Linked DNA regions of Lepisosteus oculatus. The protein of the gene in region 1 binds, or shares a complex with, the protein of each later gene. Links are inferred from orthologs where the notes say so. Each region holds a gene or a part of one and is shown on either strand. Other genes may lie near its edges.

Region 1 (12,512 bases):
GCCGAGCACGGTTCATCTGAAGACAAATCCTTAATGGTTTGGGCTCGGAAAACTCGACGGAAACCTACGAAAAGAAGTCAGAAGAGAAAGCAGATTACTACAGCAAGAATGAATTAACAGGCTTGCTTCCTAAAAGCGGTTCAGTAATCCGTTGGGATTCGATTTTGAAATAAAAAACAGGACGGGTTTAACTTCAGGTTGCGACTCAAAGAACTAAAGCGGAGAGCAGATGTGGACTGATACACGACACTGCATGACTACTGTATCTACTTAAGAGTTTCCATCAGTCACAAAACAAAACAACTGGGATAATTCAGGTGTGCCCACTTATCATCAGCACAGGAAAGAGCTGCAGCTACCGTCACAGTGTATTGTTGGCAGTGAACTGAAAATGAGACATGAACAGAAAGCACCAACCCCAAGACCTTGCTTTAAACACTCATGTTCGGTTTTTAAACAGACTGAAAGGTATTTCATCCTTATCCTGCGTATTTCCACGGGAAATCCTATACCTGGGGAAAATCTCGATTCTAACCTCAGCCGTCTCCGTTGCTCAGCCTCGGAAAGATCTTTATCATAGAGCAAAAAATAAACCCGCCTGGTTACTTCCCTTCGCGTTCAAGGAACCTGAACAGCTGACGCTGCAGAACACCCTCAGCGTTCGTCTCCTGACATTCGCCAAGTGGAGCCCTCTGGTCCGCAAACCTGCCATGAGCACATCTGCACTTGTCACCCGTGGAAAAGGGCAAGGCCCCGCTTCCTGCCACTCTCCCGGAGCATCCCAACAAAACCTCTGGCACAGGCCAGAGCCAGTAACACATCAAGACCCCCTGATGCACAGACAAACGTCCTGGCTCTACACCACTGCAGACCATATCTGAATGGGCAGAAAGCAAAGAGATAATATCATAACCCGTCTACAGCATGAAAGAACGGATCACATCAAAAAGGCCAGAAAACAAGCATCGCTAATACCTGCTACAAATGTTTGACAGCAACGACTTCACGCCAAGATTAAGTCTTCTAATCCCTGGAACAGACAAGCGTCTCGCATACTGCGATTTTCTGAGAGACAAACGGCTTTACTTATTAATGTGTGTAGAAATTTTCATCTCAAAAGATCTCAAACTGCTTTATGTCCACCCATTGTGTCCACACACAGCAGCCCCACCACGTAGCGGATCAGGGGGAGGAGACAGGAAACTGCACCACCAGCGGAATTAAGAGGAGCCTGAAGGAGGGCAGACTGTACAAGCCCAGAGTGGAACTGAGCCAGAACTCCTCAGGTAGATACTGATGGGATCTTTAATGACCCAGAAGTCAGGATCTGGGTTTACAATTCATCTGAAGGACAGTACCTCCAAACTGGAGGAATGGTTTATAAATCGTGGTCCAAATGAAAGAGCGCCACCTACTGGTCTACAATCACCACTTGTAGGAGCAAGCTGTTTTCCTTAAGAGGTCTCCCAGCCCTGTTCTGACCAGGCCCACCCCTCTTTTACATCTGAGACATGACTAGGGCGGGCGGGCTACAAGGTGGTCATCCAGCTGAGAAAGTGCCGTTACTGGTACCGAGATCTCTCACCAGCAACTCCACTCCAAGAACACCTCTGAGGATAGAGAGATATGCGTACTTGTAAATCACCCCCGATTCTGTGGACATTCTTTTGCAAAAGCATCATGAGATGCAGAAAGAAATGAGGAAATGGATGTCAGTCACAGGTCACTTGTTGAATAAAAATAATACAGACAAAACCTAAAGCCTATCAGGTGACTTTCAATAGGCAGGGGCTCCAATAGTTTTTTTTTTCCCCCTACACCAAAACAAATAATGCTCAGTTAACAGGACATAAACATTAGATTTACATACGTCACACATAGCTACTATTATTTCAGTCAACTGTCACCTTTAAGGATTCTGAGCCCGGCTACCTGCGGCGTCACCTCAACAGGCTCTCCTGCAGTCCTGTGGGGCCCGCCCATTGCCGAAAAAAACCCTGCAGTGACCTCCTGGGGGCCAGCTGACACACAGAGATGGACAGATCGCTCCACCAGTAACCGCGCTGAAGATCAGGGGCAAAAACGAAGCTGAAACTGGGCACACGCAGTGCAGTACAGTACGGCCAAAAGACCACTTGGACAGCACTCAGGCAGGTTCTTCTTGTGGTGCTGGAGTGAGATTGATCTGGATCGGGAGGAGGGGGTAAGAGACAGATGGATCGAGTCTGACCAGGAGGACTGGAGCTGGAGACGGATTTGGAGAAGTGGCGGTAAACCATCAGTCAGGGTTTGTCTGAGACTTTAAGCTAGAGATCTGGGACTGCATACACATATTTTGTCTCAACTCTTATATCAGAAACACTAGGGATTTGTCAACAAAAGCCAAATCTCTAGTGTCCCAACTAGTGTCACAGCTCCCGTAGGTCAGAATGGAGGTCAGCAAGTTCAGAAGAACAGAAAGTACCTGACTACAACAGGAAACAAAAGGGGAGGGGTATTTTAAAACGCCCAAACAACCACATTATTTACTAACGTTTAATAAGCAACTTTTCCGCTCTAAAAAGTAGCCGGGCAGCAGACATCCCAGTACACCAGAGTGAAATAAAAAAAAAACGTGAACATCTAATAGTCAAACGGACACAAAAGCCCTCCATCAATAAAAACATATCGATATCAAAACCACACGTGCACGTAAGGAGTGTTTTTTTCTCTCTCCATCTGCTACAGGCCTGCGGGGCGAGCAGTGCGCCGAGCAGCCAGCAGGTGACCCGCAGTGTGCAGATTCTCTCGGGCTCCTCTACCTGCTACAACCCCCAGATCACACTGCGGCTGCAGGGCAGGCGAGCACTGCAAGAAGCGGACACGCATCCCGCAAACTCCGTCCCCCCCGCCTCCGCTGCGTGTCCCTCTTCCGCTGTCACGGTCCGCTCGCGCACTCCCACGGGCGACCGTGGCCGCGACTCCAAACTCTGCGCGACCGTGGAGGGGGGGAGAGGGAGGGGGGGAGCCCATTCTAACAAGCGCACACACATCGGGATGAAAATAAAAATTAAACAACATTTAACGTGAGAAAGCACTCCAGGTGTGAATCTCATCCCTCTCACACCAGGCGCTCGCGTGTTTAATCGCCTCTCCTTAAACTTGAGACGCGCCCGAAGTTCACTAAAGAAACACTCGCTAACCACCCACCGAGGAGGGGGGGGGGGGGACATCGTCGCTCGGAGTAAAAACCTGTCACTGTTCTGGTTTCAAGTTTAAAGGTGCATCACCAATGTTCTGGGTTACCTCGCACGAAACACACTGTGCGTCCGCTTCCGACGGGTGATCAAGGATAATTTATGACGGCGAGTTAATGCTGCAATTAACGTGCGCGCTGCAATGAATGAAAGGCAAACCACAAACCTGGACTTCTAACAGCTGAGTGGCTGTAGGGCTGCCTGCGCCGCTGCCTGCTGGTGTTACCTAAACAGACGCCATTTTGTTACAATGTTGTAGTTTACATGAATCCGACATGACACTGATTACAGCCCAATGGAGTCTCATTAAGCCTTACCTACACGCTGATGCGCCCTCCCCAGCAACTTTAATATTGGTCCAGAAACACCAAGCCCGATTTCTGGTTTGATAAGCGTCTTGTCAGTCATCCGCCTAAGGCCTGCCCTTCGGCCAACTCGTCTACGCGACTGGTGGGCACAGCTGCCAATCATTCCTCGGCGTCCCTCCTCTTAAGGTAATCGGTAAATTACGCTGCATGCCACTCGCACATCCCCCGGTGCGGTTTCCCAGGGATTACAAAAAATTAAATTAAAGCACGACTCAATACGGGATTTAGCCAAAGGATTTATTAATCGAGTCATCGACTAAGATAAAAAATGACAGCAAAGAGTTCACACAAGCTGAAAAAATGCCCCGTGACTTGGCAAGCAGAGACTCAACCCTCGCCAGCCCACCTTTACAAAGGCTCCATCTCGAATCGATTGGCTACTGTCGAAAGTGAATTGGAACATTTTAGATTTTAATTGGTTGACGGTTATATCCATCATTTATTTGCTAAAGTACCACATAATCGCCTATGCCGAAGTTTGTCGGGCTGTAATGTTTATATCCTTAGCGGAGCTTTGCAATACGAGAACGTTTGCTTCGCTGCTTTAATTGCAGTAACACCATCTTTGCGCTGGGCTACACGATGCTCTCGATTTTTTGGTGAAACCTTTTTTTCCATGCATTTCACCACCCGTGCAAATAATTTAAACAAATGTAAAATGCATGCACGGAATTCATTCTCGTTATTTTGCATCGCCTCTTTCCCCCAAAAAATTAACACATGCGCTTAATATTTATCTTTTACCTGACGATAAATAAATCACCAACTCGACATTTCTTGACAAATACTGATTTTCGAGGACATAAAATCAACCAGGTCATATGGAAGTCTAAGCGTCTATGTATAAAATCTGGAAATTTCCATCGCAACACTTAAAAGATGCATTCTTATGTCGCCCAGACCATTTTCTCCAGTAACACGCCTCTTTACCACTGTAAAATTTCTGCGCGGTTTTCAAGTTAAACGTGAAATGATTCCACGATGATGCTGCTGCTGCTCCACGCTCAATCTTTGCAATATAACCAGACCGAGAACGAGAAGAAGAACGAACGAAACCGGGGAAAGAGGAAAAAAAAATGCCTGCTAACGCTAATGCGAACATTTGTTGGTAGTTACCTTTTTTAAGTTTGCTCGGGGTTCTCCTCTCTTCTCCCCATAAATGCGGTAATTAAACGATGAAGGAGAAATAAATAAAAACCGGGAATTCCAAAGGCGTTCTTTTATTTAATAAATGGACGCACGCGACAGCTCGCGCTGAGGCAGAAGGACCTGATAACAACTAATTGAAAGGTTAATCTGCATAGCAGTCTGTGACAAAGTAGTACCCTCCCCTTTCTTCACTCTGCCTCTAATGCACTTTGGAAAAGGAGAGTTAAAGTCGTGTTCCTCTGTCGGTGTACACTTAAAACTGCGACCAGGGGAAATTAATCTCCCTCCCCTCTTCGGGAAGGGGGGGCATAAAGACCACCTTTATTAATAACATCGTTAGAGGGGAGAGAGAGAGAAGTATTTTATTGATTAGATTGGAGGAAGCCGCGTATTTCACAAAATGCCAGGACATCACAGGACTTTTGTCATTGCAATAAGAATAGTTTTGACAGACATGAATTGTGTTTAAATCCCTGCGTGTCTGTCTGTAAACCACACCAGATCCAAGGGAATAATGCAACAAAGATATGAAAATACTGCATACTAAATTATGGAATGGAGTGCAAGTATGTTTCGCGACTTTAAGGGTAAAACAGATGGATTTTTTTTCCCTGGTGAAAACAAAAACATGATTTGTGAGGCTAACAGGGAATGACATGTGGTTGTAGTCCTTCAGAAGAAAGTTAAAATTACGTAATTCCTTAAAACTACGACACATTGATGGCATTAAAAAAACTCTTCGTCTTGCTGTAAGATCGAACTTTTTGGACAGGGGTCAGAGCGAAGTAAAAACCTTATGTGAGAAACGTTTTTGAGCTACAAATGTGCACCTAACATACAACTAATAATTTTAGAATCCTACCCACGATAATTGTGCCACAAAACTATTCCTTACCCACATCACACTGCAAGACTCCCGCCCTGTTTCCCAGCCCAAGCGTTTGAACCCATTTCTCTGACAGACTGCTAAAAGCCCACCTGGTATTTTCACCATATATCACGATACAATTACCTTTAAACCTAAGGAGCTGTAACATCTGTGTACGTCAGTCTCTTTTTCTTCCTGCGTGACAGTAGGTATCAGATTGCACAACTGAATTGAAATGATATGAGAAAGAAATGTGCGCATGGCCAATTGGTATAGTTCCCACAGGGTAAAATGTTGATTGCTGGATTATGATATTTTATTTTGCCGTGTATGTGCAGTACCTGAAATTAGTTTATTTGGTTATATGGCCATGTATTTGTGAATGAAATGTTGTGGTGTTGCATAATGAGTGAAAAAACAGCCTGAGATATCTGTGTTTTCGGTATGGGTATAAGGTACTTGTCTTTCCCAAATAATGCAAATAAGCCTTGTTGGGCCTCACTCTAGTTTGTCCATGTCAGTCAGTGCTGGGACTCCCACAGTCTCTAAGGGGAACCAGTATCACCCAAGAGCCTCACAAGCAGAAGTTCATCTTCTGAGACAGATGGATGACTGTTTGTCTTTAATGATCCAGTTAGTCCGCGCTCGAGTTTGATTGTCCTATGCACCTACAGGTAATCAACACAAATGAATTGCAATTAATTCAGCCGCTAAAACAATTTCTCCACCTGATCCGCCGGAGCATTTTGGCAGTAGTGGGCCACGAGGACGTGTGAAGATTTGTCGGATTCTTCAGGATGAAAAGCTCCATAAAAAAAAGAAAATGAAATTTCCCCAACTAACATTTATACTTAATGTATTGCTTTTTTAAACGGTGCCATCTGTGACACCTTTCTGGCGTCAAACACCTTGTCTATCACACCTGGCTTCTTTCCTGGAAAGCAACCCAGTGAACACACAAGGATAAACTTAGCCTGTAGTCCTTATCATCTCGTCAAGGAGCAGCACACTGGGAATACAAGCTTATTACTCAACTGATGACAGATTGCTCGGTGAGAATCAATTTGCAATTGATACATTATATTTATACCGAAAGGGTTTTGTTACATTTTTTTCTAGCAGCGTTCCAGTTTTTAATTTCCAACTGAACTCCTTGTGCGTTCCCTGGCCTGTTCCCTGTTTAATTATGATCCACTGGTCTAGTCCTCTTCCCCCCCTCCCCAGGATGACCGAAGCCTAACAGCCACCAGCACTGAAAGCTGAACAGATTCATGTCACCCAAGGTAAAGAGCTTGGCTGAAATGCACTCCAACAAGAGTGAGTCTAACGTAGCTCTGCTGTTCAGCTTCGCTGGGACTTCCGAATGTTTTTCAAGGCAACAGCATTCTGCTTGTTGAATATCATTTCACTATTGCTTCCTGTAGAGAAGTGTTAATATAGAGGCAGGAGATTTTTTTTTTCTGCAGAGTTGTGTTATATACGGTATTCCTACCATCATCATGCACTCTGCCGAGTTTGTGTTTTTTATTCAAGAAAGACAACTATTAAAGAAAGAAAGCTATTAATTGCAAGTGAGTAATGCAGCCAGGGTTTAGTATCGTACCTTGGCAATCACACTTGTCCCGTGGCCAAGAAAAACAATTTTATGTAATCAAGCCATTTGGAAAATATTTAGGCTATTTCTTCGTTTTTTTCTAAGAGGCACAAAGAGACTTCTATAGTATTACATAGGAAAGTTTGATTAACAAACGCTTTCAACTCTGACAGCATTCCTTTGCTATGTAAATGAACTTAAAATGATTAATGCATCTTTAGAAGCAAAATCTAATTAGATGAGTTTCACATATTCCTATATTGAGCAGTGTAGTTTCCCCATTAAGGCTGTATTGTATGTTATGGACGGAAGTCTTTTCATTGAACACTGACAAACAGCAGTAAATGTAGAAATAACATTTTCAGGCTGGGCTGATGATTAGAAGGGAGACTTGTTGGGAAGATTACACACTCAGTAAAGAATCAGAAAAATAACACTTTACTTTAGTACTTTAAAAATGATAGTTTTTAACCAAATACAGCAGTTTAACCTGCTGGCTTTACACAATCCACGTGGTTGGCTGTGCTGTGGTGCTGCCGGCACAGAAGAGTTGCTGTCATGTGCCACCAAGGTGCAGTAAGCGAGTCCCCTCCTACTGTCTATGTAAAGTGCTTGGGGATCCTTCAGGAAGAAAGGCGCTATATCAACACATTTGTCACTCCTACAAAAGAGGTAAAAATATATGTGATGAGAGCCACAGCCGCTCATCCTGGTTTCAGTGATGAGAGCGTGTTACTGCTGCCTGGGTGGGATACTGACTCCCCAGCACTGCTGGTCACTAATTGTACAGCTGGGTGGACTGGGGCCACTGGGGTGCAGTAGCTGCCTCAAGGCATAACTGCAATGTCTGCAGCAGAGGCTCAAGCCCATAACCCGTCAAGTCATGAGTTCGAGGTGGACCAAAGTGCTACGCCGACCCACTGCTATAGAACGGGCGAAAAGAATGCAAAAATCGACAAAGGCGGGTAAAAGGCTTAATATAAATGTGCTGATGCTGACTCTCACTCTCATTCCCTCCAAATTCCGTACCGATCTGCTGGACCAGACGAAGAACTGGACTTCATGTGTGTGACTGATACTTGAGGATGTCAGCTAACGTTTGCTTTTGACAAAGACACTTGGAGGGAAGGGCTGTCAGCGAACACATCTGCTGGAAATCACTTCAGTAACTGGCTGACATGTCTCCAAGATCAGTGCCACGTTACAAAAAACATCAGTTTCTTCTTTGTAGTGTGTATTTGTTTACTTTTAACTCGTCCCTACAAGGACAGGGGACCTAGCTGCGCTGGCAGATGGCCAAGGCTCATGTCCCGTTCCCACTGGAGACAGAACTGTCCAGCGGCACAGTGGAGCCGTGGCAAGGGACAGACAGTCTGAAGTGTGAGGGTGAGGCGAAGTCAGGGGATTGGGGGCAGCGTGGGGATCTTAGACTTTTTTGCTCCGGGAACACTGTAATCCCAGTCCTGCAACACAGATTGGCCAAGGTGCCAGAACTTTGAACCAGGAGCAATGTTTGTTCTGTTTCAGATGATCATGTTGTCTGAATAATGTAAATAATATGCGTTTCTTTACTTTTGAAGAATGAAGAACACCAAGATACCATAAGACATAGAAAAAAATCCTGACTCCTTGTGCAAAGTGTTATGAATTTGACCTCGACTAATCGATTCCCTTTTATTCAATCTGAAGTTCTGTCAGTCAAATATACTTTACAAATGAATTGAATGGGTGCCTTATTTAAGGATCTGCAGCACCATGTTTTTTATTTAACTAAAGATAAGAAACTAGCTTGTGGGAGAGGTAGGGTTCTCTTTGAAGACAGACAGGAATGGAACAGGATTGCACCTCAATATCTGGGCGAAGCTCCGTGGCCTCTAAAAGATCTCTCCTGCTCCATCGGCTCTTCCCACATGGCTCCCTGCAGCTCACTGCCAACTGCAGGGTGACGTTCAAGACAGACACACCTGCCCACAGCCAGTGCTCAGTTGACAGATCTCTGTTCTTTCAGGTTCTGGCTTTTAGAGAAAAATGTTTTCCGAGGAAGTCAGGAACCAAAAGGAGGAAAAATGTGCTGCACTGAGCTGTTTGTTTAATACGCCCAAATTCTCTTCTAGTTTGATCTATTTCACATTTGCAGTGTTCATTTTTAAACCTATCTGAAAACAATCCCTAGGATTTTTTTTTTCCAAGGCAGTCCCATTACAAAGTGCTAGGATGGTATACATGGAAATCTGCATGCTTTCTTTGAAGTCTCTGGGAACAGGGAGTGCCTTCAGCAAAGAGGGAAAAAAAAGCACAATGCTTTTTTTTTCCTCTGTAAGGCTACCGAGGACTAAAATAAGACAATCCAAAACAGCTGATCTTTCAATTGCAATAAAAATAATAAAAAAAGCAAATGCAATTATCTGCAAACTAAATTGGTGAAACCCCCCATAAATGTCAGTTTCCAAATGACTGTAAACACTCCCATGACTTAATCATGGCTCCTTCCTTTTGTATGTTTGTGTTTTTGCCATCTGCCACCTTGAGCAGCAGAATTAAGCAGCTGCCAGTGAGAGAGTGATCTGGACCAATCAGCAATGTGATCCTTTTCAAACTGCATCTGTGTGAAGCACTGCAAAATGTGGATAGGAAAAAAAGGCTCTAACAAGTTGTTAATTACATTTTCCCTAGGAAAAAAATCTTTTAAAGAAAGCTCCATTAGCATAAATGTCTTAACACATATTAGACTGATGTAATCAGACACAGCTCTCTGCCTCTCGTTCCTGGAAGTAAATGTAGATCTGAGAAAAATGCTACCACTTCATTATATTAGCGAAGATTAAAAGCAAAGCGCTTAAGAGTGATTTGGCTCATGAGTATTCTCAGTTGTGTTAATTTAAAAATGAGTAATTTAGGGCTGAAATGTCTGAAACATTTAAAACAGACGGGAGGAGTTGGGGGGAGGATTTGTATCTTCCCAAAAAACTGCAAAAGAACCAAAGAATATTTGACTTGTGTCACATCAGCCCTTGTGCTAAAAGGTTATTATGCACATTAATAGTTAAAGGGTGTGTGTTTACTGACACATTAATTCCCATCAAATTATTTCCACCAAATTAAATTTTATATGCCGTACTTAGTCCTCAATTAATGTTAAAGATGATGTGGAAAACAAGACACTAAGATATCTCAACTCGGCTGTATAAGACAATAAGGAAAAAGGATAGGGTGACTCATCCTTCTGTAACCATTCTGCTGTATTTCTTCATTAATCACATGCAGATGGGAGTTTCAGTAGTGGTCCATACTCTGTGGTAGCAGCCCATGAATACTGCTCCGCTCACTCTACTGGTGAACGGCTCACATGGGCTATGATTAATTAGAAACAAGTCTTTCTGAAAAGATGAGTGCGGTACTCTATCCTACTACGTCTCCCGCTCTTGTTCATAATAAAGATGTCTTTCAGAAGCTGTGATCCTGCTCTCTGCTCCTTTGTGGAGGGGACGGTGACCTGCTCCAGCCGAGGAAAAAGAAGAGCAGGAGGCTCGCTGGCCGGCCGTGTGTGTGATAACGGGGAGATGCAGTGTGAGCACGCTGTGGCCCTGTTCAGTTTTAGGAAGGGGGCGGGGCTGTGCACAGAGCCCCCCAACCTCGCCGCTCTGCTGTCTCCCGTGGAGAGGGAGGCGTCCAGGGCTGTTTCAAGCCTCCCTCTGACCACTGCCTGCCAATGTCAGCGCCATCACCCACCAGCCTCACAGCTGGCGACCAAGGATCAGTCTAATTTCCAGCTCCCTCTAATGATCACCATGAAGAGCAACCACTAATCCCATAACTGAGAAAAATGACCCCCCGCAGGCTTGCAATCGAGATCCAGAAACACGCCGCACCTCGTCAGAACCCCACGGTGTCCCCAGGGGAGGGGGGTGGGGTGGGGGATGATTCCCCCAGGGGGCAGCACCAAGCCCCCCAGGGCAGGACCCCCTTCTGCTGAGGAGCAGACAGAGACGGCCGCTTCAGAGCAGCACATGCCCAAGTGTTTTTCACTCATTGCTAGAAACCAGAACATAAAGTAAACAACATATGGTTAGATCCATTTTTTTTATTTTTTGTCAGTTTAAGATGGCGTCACGTGGAAAAAGGTTCCCCTGCTTCAACACATAACTGGATGCAGACGAGACGTCCTCTCGTCATCCAGGCCATCTGTACAGGTTTTCAAAATGTGCGCTTCGTAAACTATTTGGTATATCATGGCAAGTTCGAAGTCTGCATAAAAACTCCTGTGCTGAAATCGGGGGAGCTGTCTTGAAGAAAGGGACGATATTTATTTAATTTTAAAGCGAAGTGAGAGCTTTTTAGAAGTTGCTAATTACCAAGAGACAGTTACTTCAGGTTTTAGTAGTCTTGCTGTTTGATTAATGCAAATGCATCACTGCACCTTGTCAAAAACAAATAACCAGATGTGGCTTCAATGTTGTCTCCAACGGCCGAGGAAGGAAACCAAATACTAGTTCATCACCCCCCCCCAAAAAAAAATTAAAACATGTTTAATACAGCCATTTAAGTAATGAATCACTGCTTCTTTTTCATATAAAAAAGGAAATGAAAACATTCATTTGAGTCCATTTAAATCACATCTCTTCGTGTAATTACATCTCCGAATCGTGGCCCTCTGGGAGTCGGGACCGAACGGAAACAGGAACACAGAAGTCTCCATGCAGGCGGCGGGGCGACGTTGGGCGGCTGAGGAAGAGACAGGAGCAGCTGGCGCTCCCATCATGCCTTTCGGCTGTCAGTGAAAGTCTGGCTTTTCGGGGAAGGTGCACCCTGCGCGCCTGATGATGACGTTGGCCGCATAGTGACCGGCGTGGATGCACTGCTCCAGCGGCCGCTCATAAACAACCTGTGACAGAAACCCTGGGTAAGGAAGAAAAGAGAATGTTCATCTGTTAGCACCGAGAAATACGTGGCTGTGGGAAGCCCAATAATAAGATAAGATCACTTTATTGGCCATATACAATTTCTTTTATTAGACTAATCTGTTCTTTTCACATACCCCAGCTTGCTCTCCATGAGACACACAGGCAAGATGAGAAGCTTGGGGGCAGAGCACAGGGTCAGCTATTTTATACAGTGCCTCTGGAGCAGTTGGAGTTAGGGGCCTTGCTCAGGGGCCCAACGGAGTAGGATTCCTCTGGCGGCTGCAGGATACCAACCGACAGCCTTGCAGCAACAGGCTCAGATCCTTAGCCACAGAGCCACGGCACTGGCCTGTGGCTAATTAGCAGGAATGAAGGCCCGGATCCATAAGGATGGTA
Region 2 (12,400 bases), on another chromosome or scaffold:
GATGACCGTGAGCGGGTCGAAGATGCTGATGCGGTGCAGCCGGCCATCCAGGTCCACCTCCACCATCTTCTGCGCCTGGGCGTAGGTCAGCGTCTCCCGCGCCGGCGACACCTTGAGGCTGTAGGGGGAGGGCGAGCGCGGGCCCAGGCCGCCGCCCACTGCTGCCGCCGCCACCCCCCCAGCCTGGCGCCCCCGCCTCCGCGGCTTCCTCATCTGCCCCCCGCACTACCTCCCTGACGCCAGGGGAGAGACCGAGAGAAGAAGACAGAGAAAACTGGGGGTCAGCTTATATGGCAACAGACTTTGTTTTGAACGATTTGGAAGTGGTTGCTAATTTCCTATCCCAACGTGGCAACTGATCACAATGACTCAACAGGCTCCACAATCACCTGCTGATGAACAAAACTACATCAAAACTCATTTACATTTCAAACTCTTTACTGCTAGCAGGACACTGCAGAGCTTCCAGGACATGGAGACATGCCATATTAAAACAAGCACTCCCAAATACTCTTGCCAGTGGTTCGTCTTCTGGCTTTTGCGCCAGCCAGATCTTTACAACAGGCTAATTTGTTTTCAGTTTTCTATGTGGGGCTTATTTTTAAATTTGCTTTCACGTCTTCAAATGTCGAATGGAACTTGCATTAGTCCTGTACCTGCTTCTTAAAATGAAGACCCCCCTCTAGTTTTCAAAGGAAAACACCTTCAGGGAGTACTTGGCAACTGTCATTTCCACCTTGGTCTGTTCATCATAAATTGATCACCTATTCACAGCTTTATAATCATCAATTAAAGTAATAAGTAATAGGTTCATTCCATGCTGAAAAGAGAAGAGAGAAAGCACAACGTTTCGGCTGTGAAGCCTTCTTCAGGTGTCAATTAAAGTAAGCAATTAACACCGATTATTTAAAGCTGCTGGGATTCAAGTCAGGTGGGCAAACCTGCAAATTCCCACTTCTCCCAGAACAGTTCACTGGGAAATCTTGAGACTTCTTGTCTCAAGGCAGAGCCTCTTCGGCCACCTGTAAAAACATTAGGAATGGACACGTTTGTCTGTAGCAGTACGGTGCCTCTGTTCCTGCAACTATAACTTCACCACAGCTGCAGAAAAGATCTTTAAACATCAAGACAGGCTTTTGATTTAATAAATTCACCTTTGTGTTCCTTGAGCTCTAGTACAGTTTACAGAGGCTGCTCTTGCCTGGTCTTGCTGATGTGCCACATAAGACCTGCTGGTCTACGGCTCTCCAGTTTGTGGCTCCAGTCGTAGGCCACCCCTGTGCTTGGCTTTTTAAAGGCAGAACATCAATTCTGATGAGATGTTATTTCACAAGAAAGGAGTGTTACGTTTGCTGGGTCCTTGCTCCATACTCTTCAGCTGGCCTAGTTTTCTGCTGGAGGGCAGAGGGAAGGCTGTGGGATTAATTACCTTTCCAGTGTTAGATGCTTCAGTGCACAAAAACAGTTACAAACGAGAGGAGACACTTTGGCACATTCAGTACTCAATATCGAACCGATCCAAGGAACCTAGAAGCCAAGTTGTTTCTAGGAGGAAGCCAGGGTATCAGCTTCTACAACATAGCCAGGTGCCTTGTTCCACACTGCCAGACTCGTTGCATAAAGAAACAACTTCGATACTGCCTTCTATATATATATATTCAATATAGTAGTATGTATATCACTATCATTCCCCATATAGTGTTTTCTGGGTCATATCCATGCAAAGAGGATATTCGTTATAGATCACTTCTCCTTTGCACTGAAATGCTGCATTTAAGAGGTAAACTGGACCTCTGTATTTGACGCGCTTGTAGTGGGTTACAGGGAAATATATGCAGCACTGAAGGAGTCTCAAATCCCATTGGTCATGTTAAGAGAATACAGCTAACTCCATGCCAAAATCAAATGTGAAAATCAAGTGTGAAAAATTCACCAGTAAAAATCTTTTCACCATTGTTTTTTTATGATTATAAATGTGTTAACAATTGACCCTAAGGGGGCCACAAAGACTTCCAAACAACTCCAACCCAGCAATCAATTCCTTAGTGCAGTCAGAACCACCTTTTTCTCCACAGGTCACACACAGCTGCTGGCTAGAACAAACCTGTAGGACCTGTGGCACCAGCTCTGCCATCCGTGGCTCTCCTGACCCATCCTCTCCATCAGTCCAGCACTCTCTCAGGAGATATGACAGCTGGCTCCATAACGCACTGCCATTTTACATACTGCCGTTCACAGCAGAGAGGACCATCTTCAATATAAAAGCACAATTCACAAGGGGAACTTGCTGGATACTAACACTAGGCAAATCATGTCAGAGGCAAGTCTGCACAGATACATTCAGCAACTAACACAAACACAGACGTAACATGCAAACATGCAACATCGAAATATCGCTACACTACGCCCAATGCTATCACTAACTGGGGCTGAAAAGCTCTGTAATGCTCTACTAACTGGGGTATCTAAATCTACATTGAACAAACTGAAGAATGTCCAAAATTCGGCAGCCAGACTCCTGACCAGGTCTAGTGCAAGTGTTCTTCACGTCCTTGCACTGGTTTCCTGTCAAATTCCGCGTGGAATTTACAATCCTCATGCTCACCTATAATGCTCTGCATGGCTTAGCACCTCAAGAACCTGTCTGAACTATTGTCGCCCTACTCCCCACCTCGCAACCTTCGCTCTTCTAATTCTGGTTTCCTAACTGTCCCCCAAGCCTGTCTACATTGTATGGGTGACAGGGCCTTCTCCTGTTACGCCCCCCCAAGCTCTGAAACTCTCTCCACAAGGATATCCGAGATTCACCTTCGCTAAACTCCTTCAAATCCAGACTCAAAACCTTCTTCTTTAGAAGAGCCTTTACTTAACTGGTTCCATTCCTTACCCCTCTGCTCCTACTATACTTAGTACCACCATCGACCCTCTCCTCTCTGTATTGTAATTGTGTTTTATCTTGCATGTTCTTTTTATTTATTGTTGTTGACATTCTGTAAAGTGCTTTGAGAAGCCACCTTTAAAGGTGCTATATAAAATAGTTTATTATTACTTTAGATCAACGGCACATACCAAACTATAAGTGCCTATAAGTGTCAGGGCCAGCCTATGAAGGCAATAATCAGGAATGTGACTTGATCTATATTTTTATGAGAAATATCACACTGTTTTGCAGTTATCGGTCGGAACACCTTTGAGTCACAGTGATAGCCGAATCCACTAAACGTTTCCTCGCGCTTTGCACTCACAACTTTGTCTTTGTTCAGAAAATAATTAAAGCTCTGCGGCGGTACATAATCCTTTTAGGGTCTTGCTTTAAAAAGCCCATTTTAAAAGCACTCCCTGAATTGGCGGCCATAATGTTTCGTAAAAACGTAAATAGACCATAAATACGGCGAGACCCAACCCAAAAGACAACCATTCCTCCTTCGATTTAAATGCTCCCGCCTCGCTGCGCAGGCGTCGTGACGCGTGGAGGCGGAAGTGATCTTGCACCGAGCACACACACAGCTGGCTCACACGTGACTTGACGGCGCGGTGTTAGAGCTCCTGTCCTCTTTGCGCATCGGGGGATAAATTCAATACTCCCCCTCAAAATAATCCCGGTCACCTGTTCAGCCAGCTACTCAATGAGAGCATCACTCCCCTCCTGTGTCCTTATCTAGAAAGCCACTCATTTTACTTTGTCAAACTGTCCCCCACCACCAAGAAGAAAACAAGTCGAGGCTCCCTCTTTCTTGCCTATGGCATTGGAGCGGCGAGTTTAATCAAATACGGACAAGAAAGTGAAAAATTCAATTTATAAAGGATCAAAACCGGATCAACGGGTAGAGTTTACTGGTCTTAAATTCAACCTAAACACGCAAATGCCCCTTCAGCTGTGATCGCGGCAAAACTTTTGCAAAATGACATGTTTTTATTTTCGCTTGTTGGGGGCGGGCCTATGCAAATCAAGCTCCTCATCTCTCCACACACCCGCACAGCTCGCAAACTACTGCCACAACACGCGATCTCTCTCTGACAACGCTGCTGAGAGCTGACATAACGGTTTATTCGCTCATGCCGATATACCCTTCTTTCTTTGCTTGTGTTTTTCGGGGAGATTTTTCTGGAAGGAATCCCCTACACTTAACCACCAAGAACACCCCAGACCCACTTTTCATAAGTGAGCTTCCGCTCGGCCAATCAGAGTCTCCTGCCGCCCTCACAGGGTCTTCAAGAAGCCAATCAGCCATTAGCAGAGGCGGTCCTAACCGCCATAGTTTGGTTGGCTGTGTTTTATTTCCAGAAGGAGAGAAGATGGCAGCCATCTTCCCCGCTAAACTGTAGTGCTGATCGAAATATTTCTCTTTACAACACGACGCTACAACAAGCAGGCCCAAACACAATGTCGGTTAATAAGCGCCTTTCCTCTCCTGCCATATCCCCTCAAGATCACATTAAAACTCTCCTTCAGTATTATGTTATTGCCCGTTTTCTTTGACCGGGGGGGCAGTTAAGAATCTCCATTAATTTTCTGAGTAAAAAACCGTCTACACCCCTGCTTAAAAACAACCTCGCCGCAGCGCAAAAAATAAGAAAAAATCGACTTTAAACATTTACCTTGTTTTTCAAAAGGCAACTCGACAGCAAGAGCAGCTAAAAAACAGCCAAGGAGAGCGGAGCCGTCGCTCTGGGTGCTTCGGCCGAAAAAGCCGGCAAATTTCGGTGTGCAAACGTCCTTTTCCCAGCTTCAACCCTCCATCATGGCCACGACTGAACGTTTTCCAGTAGAATTAAGGGAGAACAGGCAAGTGTAGTGCCAAGGTTTATTTGAGAGAAACACGAGAAGGTAGATACCCTGGTCTGGCTACGAAAGGATTTTTTCCCCAGCGATAGCTAAGGGAAAGCGGCGCTTTCAATCAAGATAGCGAGAACACGCCCCTTTAAAAGAAGCGAGCTGCCGAAGCTGGTTGTTTGACAAACATGGAAACCCCGTGGTAGTGTACGATATTACTGTGTCTCCCTCCGACACAAACATCGCCACACACACTCCGGTCCCGTGTGTTGGAGCACAACGCCAACACACACGACCAGTACGTAGACCTTCCCCTTCATACGCGCCATGCCAGTTACTCCGGGCTCATCCCGGGTACAGCGCTGCACAGTGCGTGCGGCGGACTTGTTGGAGCTGCACAGGAAAAGCAGGCAAGCCGGGCGCTCTCTTTACTATGCGGCAGCGGCTACCCCCGCCTGTAGAAAAATACATGTGCATGGCGTGGTTTCTGTGCAAGCCCACTCCTCGCACCGCGTTCGACTGAATTCCTTCACCCTGCCTCTCTTTGTTGACAAAGTGAGATTGAATGTGCGTATCGCAGTGATGGTCATAATAACGTACTATTGATTTGATAACCATTATGCTTTTAGTCCGTCTGTAGAAGCTAATGGTAGCCTACTGCATGTCTTTAGGAGTAGGACCTAGTGTTCACTGGAATGCTTCTTCAGTCTCTTTTTCAAGATATTACGGATTCATTGACTGTATTTAAAATAAGTACAAGAGGTGTCTTTTCCACTCACTCTAATGAATCCCGGGTCTTTCCCAGTGTCAGTAACGGAAAAAAAAAGTTTTCCGAGTGAAAAACACGAGCTAAAATGCAAGAAAAACAGGGTAACGCTATCGTTTTCCATGACCTTGCCCTTGTGGCATTCCCCCCAGAAGCGAAGCACACGTGTACATCGAGTGTTGCACAGCATTTTTTTAAGTGAAGACTTCAGTCTTCTTTAAAATTTAAGCAAGAGGTTTATACCAATGATTCTAACTCTTGTCGACTGTTTTTTACGATCCAGACGATTTCTTAATCATAGAAATGGTCATTGCTTTTCGTTTTCTAAACGGACTTTAAAAAGTTGCTGTCAGCTGTCCAAGTTTATGGAGTGCTTGTAATTTATATCGACTCTGTGCCAGTTCCTGAGTTTCAGAACTGCCCTCATTCAAGTGCGTAAACCACAATAAAATTAGGTTCAACAAATTGAGGAGCGTCTGCTTGTAAATCTGTATGCAGAGGTTGCTGGAAGCGATATCTTGAGGTGAGGGTATATTCCCCTCTCAAGAACGAGGTCTTGGGTTTAAGCACTGGGATTTGTATAGCTCAGCTCAACAAAAACAAATCAGCCGACACAGGGCCATCCAGTACCATTGTAGGGAACCACTGGTATGACTGATCTTGTGATGGTGTCTTGCTTGTTACAATGTGGTGCTCAGCTCTGCATGTTTTGCTACAGTTCAGTCTCTCAGGGGTGGGTGGAGTTGAAACTACACACCAAACACCCCTTCCCCCCATGCGCATATCTAGGTCCCACTTTACCTCCCCCAAGACACACACAGTTACATTAAAAGCTTCCCAAAACATTTTAGTGCCATTTAAAATAAAAAATGAATGAAAAAGGGATACAAAATGAATGTGTGGTAAACTGCCTAGGACTGTGAAATTACCCTCTGAAAGTGTTTTCCATTTCTTCACAGGGAACAGAAATCCAGGTGTAAGCAGTGTAGTGACAAATGTTTTTAGGAACGACCCCTCCTCCCCCCCACGAGTGTCCCCAAGTGTTGCAACACCTACACAGCTGCCCACTTCTGTCACCAGCCAGGATGATCCTCCGTTAACCCTCACATCCCTGAGCTACCTTGTAAATTGACCTTTAGTCTTGCAAATATTTTATGACACTGATTCAATCCATCTATTTTCCAACTACTTTATTATCCAATTCAGGGTCGCAGGGGAGCTGGAGTCCATCCCGGCAAGCATAAGGCACAAGGTACACCCTAGATAGTGCGCCAGTCTGTATCGCAGGGCGCACAAACATTCATTCACACTCACACCAGGGCCCAACGTTCATTTACACTGTCTTGGACGAGAACAGTGCTCAGCTACCAGTGCATCCCGCTGGGGCCAGAACCGACCAGATTGGAACAAGGGACACAGTACTTAAGATCAGATAAGATCACTTTATTGGCCATATACAATTTTTTGCATTAGGAATTTGTCTTTTTGCATACCCCAGCTTGCTCTCCATGAGACACACAGGCAGACAGATGGAGGGAGAGAGAAGCTTGGGGTCAGAGCACAGGGTCAGCCATTTATACAGCGCCCCTGGAGCAGTTGGGGTTAAGGGCCTTACTCAGGGGCCCAACAGAGTAGGATTCCTCTGCTGGCCATGGGATTTGAACCGGCAACCTTCCAGCCACAGGCACAGATCCTTAACCACAGTCCCAATTCTCCTTGCTTTAACTACTGGTGTCCCTAATAAAACAAGGACTGTGGAACACGAGGAACACTCTCATCCAGCACAACACACAGAGTGGGGAGCGAGGGAGCTGGAGGAGAGGATCCCTGTGAAGGATTTGCAGGAGAATGAAGCAACAAAGTGTTAGAGCCTTGGAGGAACTCTTTTTATTGTGCAAATCCAGCCCCAGCAACCACTTGCACAGATTGAAAAAAGGACAATCACCCTTCTTAGAACGTGAGTAGTCTTTGTGGTTTGGTAGAATGTACAAATTGCAGGAGTGATGTGTATCATGCAATTAAAGTTTATTTTGTTAAAAAAAAGTCTTTGGACTGTGGGAGGAAACCGAAGTACCCAGAGAAAACACATGCCAACAAGGGGAGAACATACAAACTTCACACAAACAGCACCCCAGGAATTGAACCCAGGGCCCCAGGCTTCAAGGCAACATTGCTAACCCCTGTACTACTGATTCCCCCAACCAAAAAAATAAAATAAAAGCAGCATTACACATTTTCTCTCCAAATCCTTTTGCTTCAGTTCTGCTTAATGGGCACTTTCAAGCAGAAAAGTTATCAGCATGTGGGCTTGTGTTGCCCTTCCCTTCCCATTCTGCAACAGCAACAACCCTCATTTATCCTGACAAGGCTTCACTTTGCACTGTGGGCAAGCTGTGTGCCAGCTACTGCAGCCAGAGCCGTCGCAATTGAAGGACAGTCAAATCCCAGTCAGCCCAGGAAAATCAGGCTCCATATCTCTTATCAGCTGATGCCGTGAGAGATGACCTTTTCACAAAACAAAAAGGCCTTGTGAACTCGCAACTCAGAACGCCGACAGTATCTAAAAAAAAAATATTTCAATATTTTGCCTCTAATGACTGAAGCAGACCTTGCTGTAAATGTCTTAGTTGTGCTTGACAGAATTGTTCTGACAAGACAATGCAAAAGTAAATATCAAGGACATTATGAGCAGAAACCGCTTATAGAAGCAGTTCTTTTAATTTTTTTACTGTGAATCATTTTATTGTTGTTACCGAGTTTCTGAGTACATTGTACGATTACCACTTTGTGAAGGAAACAAGGGTGCATCCTGAAAACTCTTTAATGGCAAGGGGTATTAAAAATGAAAAAGACTGTCCGATAACAATTATGAGATCTCAGGATACTGGCGAGTTTCATGGATCTTGAAGTATAGCTCAGGAATTTTAATATTAAATTAAGAGTGCATTTATTTAAAATAATGCTGTAAAAATGTTTTGCTTCTTTTTCCCCAGTCATTGGTGGGAGGATTTTCAAAAGAAGCATTTTATTCAACACATCCTTCCATTATTGGTTCTGTGTGAACTGGGGACATGTGTAAATCTCGACCTAATCAACAGAATAACTTAGTTTAGGATAATTTATAATAGGACACTATTGACACAATATATCATCACGGTCTTTTAGTTAAAAATGTTAAATTCAGCTTTTACATTTAAATTAAACGCTTCCACAAACTTGAACCAATTTTTTGTTGGCAAAGATAAGTCACAGGTTATTACATTAAAAATATAAACACATCAAAGTAATAAAACAAAGACAGTAAACACCAGAGTGTGGCAACATTTCACTTTAAGGACCTTAATTTGCACATATTCAATATCTCTTTATTTTACAAGGAGTAGAATAAAAAAAAACATAACACATTTAAAAAATGTACACAAACAATTAATCCAGACACCATTTGAGTTGATGCTGAATAAGCTTTACATAAGGCAATCTCAGCCCTCCATGAGATACAGAAACGCTGTGCTCTACAAAGGGTGCTTTTGAGAGTCCGAGGGATGATCTTGGTATTTTTCAACAAGCACAGGTTATCTTCTTTTTTACTGTTCAGTGTTGAATTAACCCTGCTTTAACCCCTGCTTGTTACTTTGCAGCCTGCACACTGATGCTTCTTCCGACTCTAACCTCTTCAGTACTGTAGGCTCTGGCCTGGACTGGTCAACCACTGGTCCTCCTACCATTCCTATCAGAGGAGCATGTGAAAGAATAATTCTTATCTCAAGAATAATTCTAAGATCGCCCTTTCTTCTTGTGAGCGGTTCTCTGACTCCACGACTGTGAATGTGTTTAGCTCTGCGGATTAAAATCGGCCAGCCTGGTGAACTGCTCCTGTAAGACTGAGCTTCTGAGTTGACTCAGCATGCCATAACTGTAACGTCTCATGAAACCCTCTAACGTTCTCATCCTTTTTTTTATTGGCTGTTCACCCAGTGTAATAAATTCATTTAGATAACTTATCCTGCCCAGCCAGGACTCAACCCATGAAACTCCTGTCCTGGCAATAGATAGGCTTTCCATTAGCACAGAGACATTTCTCATAAACATGGGTTTTATTTAGCACCTTTATCTGTCTGCTTCGACCTGCCTGAGCACAGTCAGCACTTCCAAAGACACCTTAAGTTTCCCATTGTCTCACAAAATGAGCGAATTTCAACCACCCTCAAGAGCATCTGCATCAGGCCTCACACTACGTACTATGCGCTTGAAAGGATAAGGGTTTATCCCTTATAGTTATACTATATATAAAGTTAATAATAGCTTTATGTTTTTTTGTTAACCCTTAGATGTTTTCTGGTTGACATTTTTTAACCAAAATAACAAACAATGCTGTACATAAAGGATGTGTTCTCAGATAGTTGAAATAGAAAAGAAGTACATTGCTCACTCAAAAATACAAGCACCTTGTTAAACTTAAATTCAGATAAAAAACATTTGACTACATATTTAAAAGTCCTGTACATTTAAGGATTTTCCAATGTGTTCAAAGGTTTTTGAAAAGTAATTAATAAAAATCCACCTAAAATAAAAAAGACACTACAAGATGATCAAAATAAAAGATGTTTTAAAGCTCCCCCCTGAGCTTTCCCCATTAACTGGACTACATCAATAAATGAAGCCTCAAACATGATCACCTGTGTGTCTCTGTGTGGCTGGAGTGACAGTAAACAATCCTTTCAGCTAATCTCCACAGAGAACTCTAAGATGTCCCAGAATCTTTCCCTGGGAACATTCAATGAAGACTTGAAAAAACACCCTCAGATCAATATGCTACAAGTAATCAAAATGGAAAAACAGCCTCATCTAGCATCTAACCATCCATCTGTTCTTATGCTGGCTCTACGGCACACTGAGCGTATTCTGCATGACTGTGGTAGGGTGATCATCTCTAAGACCTTCAGTGAAATAAGGCTTAAGAGGCTCTTCTCTCCCCTAGAGCCCCAGCAGGCATGTCTGTGTGTGTTGTCGAGTAGGTGTGTCTGCATATATGTGTGAGTCCGCATTTCTCCCTCCCACGTCAATGTGACATCGTCAGTGTGCTCCGCCTCTTGGAGTCTCGCCGTGGAAACGGGACAAAGCTCTTTACTTCCTTGAAGGACAGCCCTGGGGGAGGAAGGAAGGAGAAGACAAATAATTAGGCAAATCTTGGGTAAAAAATCCAGCAGTGTCAGAGCAAACACTAGATTTATCCACCGGGTGGCACTGTACATGAGAAAAATAGCTTGGCAAACTCATATTGGCGACTTCCTTCTCAGCAAACACGAAAGATGTAATAGCACTGAATTTATTAACCATAATACTCTGAGTTACTGTAGCCATGATCCTCACCAGGACAAGAGGACTAGACAGACTGATTATTAGTGTAATAATAGAAGGTGGAGAGTCAATGTATTGGCTCACGTTTCCACTCATTGACCGGTAAGGTGGCGTTGTCATGCGTGTCATCGTAAGGCTTGGCCTCAATGTCATCCTCGGGGTCCCGTAAGCTGTCAAAATACGGGTGAGCCAGGGCCTGGGCCGCAGTCAGTCGCCGGTCGCAGTCCAGAACCAGCATCTTTTCCAGCAGGTCCACCGCTGGCAAGAAAGAAAGCCTTAGTCTCAGCACACACACACAGAAACACAAACCTCCAGCTCTGTGTAAGTTGTTAAAAGGTCCAGCCCTGCAGGGCTGTTTGACTGGTAACACAGGAAGAAATGTAACTGCCCTATGACCCCTCCCCCCCTTACCCCCCCATTCCAGTTAACCACAGTTTCACTTTTTAATTAGCAGCTCAAAGCTGCTGAACACAGCGCACAGAACCTGTTACCATGGAGACCAGCTGCACAAGGACACTGCCTGTAACTGCAGAGACCAGACTCTCACTGCGCTACCCAAGTGGGAAGAGGTGGGACGTGTGTTGAGGGTGGGAGGGGGTCTGACTGCTCACTAATAAAAGCACATGAACATACTCACACACACCAATGCACATAACTCACCTACAGTACACATGTACAGGGCCATTTTACAGTAGCAAAATGCTTTAATATTACAGAAAAATGCTCAGAACCTGTACCGGCAATGTGTATGTTACCTATTGAAATTATTTGGTATAATGATACTAGCAATGGGTAGTATTATTTCACAGGGAGTATTAACAGCTGTATTAGCTACACCAGTAAGAGCTATTGCAGTATAATCTATACCATATTGCCTGATGCACTACTAGTTATAGCAATTCTTGCTATGGCTGTATGAATAAAGGTTGCACGGGTGTAGAAATTAATAGCAGTATAGATGTCGGTTGTAGAAAGTAACAGTAGTATCAGTGACGGGTGTACAGGGTAGCAGCAGTATCAGTGACGGGTGTACAGGGTAACAGCAGTATCAGTGACGGGTGTATAAGGTAACAGCAGTATCAGTGACGGGTGTACAGGGTAACAGCAGTATCAGTGACGGGTGTATAGGGTAACAGCAGTATCAGTGACGGGTGTACAGGGTAACAGCAGTATCAGTGACGGGTGTACAGGGTAACAGCAGTATCAGTGACGGGTGTATAAGGTAACAGCAGTATCAGTGACGGGTGTACAGGGTAACAGCAGTATCAGTGACGGGTGTACAGGGTAATAGCAGTATCAGTGACGGGTGTATAGGGTAACAGCAGTATCAGTGACGGGTGTACAGGGTAACAGCAGTATCGGTGACGGGTGTACAGGGTAACAGCAGTATCGGTGACGGGTGTACAGGGTAACAGCAGTATCGGTGACGGGTGTATAGGGTAACAGCAGTATCAGTGACGGGTGTATAAGGTAACAGCAGTATCAGTGACGGGTGTATAGGG

What was found.
Region 2: kat6b (region 1) and brpf3b share a complex: the UniProt entries of both Homo sapiens proteins name them as parts of the MOZ/MORF complex. The link is inferred for Lepisosteus oculatus from reciprocal best matches to the Homo sapiens genes KAT6B and BRPF3.

What each region holds. Positions count from the first base shown.
Region 1 is NC_090699.1:17,865,595-17,878,106, reverse strand, and holds the start of kat6b (histone acetyltransferase KAT6B), read right to left. Parts: upstream 4,959-12,512; 5' UTR 4,721-4,958; intron 3,537-4,720; exon of another isoform or gene 3,403-3,536; intron 65-3,402; 5' UTR 1-64. Other genes in the region: adka (adenosine kinase), read right to left, coding at 11,987-12,111. UniProt on the Homo sapiens protein: Histone acetyltransferase which may be involved in both positive and negative regulation of transcription. Required for RUNX2-dependent transcriptional activation. May be involved in cerebral cortex development.
Region 2 is NC_090700.1:35,947,790-35,960,189, forward strand, and holds the start of brpf3b (bromodomain and PHD finger-containing protein 3), read right to left. Parts: upstream 5,201-12,400; 5' UTR 4,600-5,200; intron 234-4,599; 5' UTR 214-233; coding exon 1-213. Other genes in the region: mapk13 (mitogen-activated protein kinase 13), read right to left, coding at 10,600-10,685, 10,983-11,156. UniProt on the Homo sapiens protein: Scaffold subunit of various histone acetyltransferase (HAT) complexes, such as the MOZ/MORF and HBO1 complexes, which have a histone H3 acetyltransferase activity.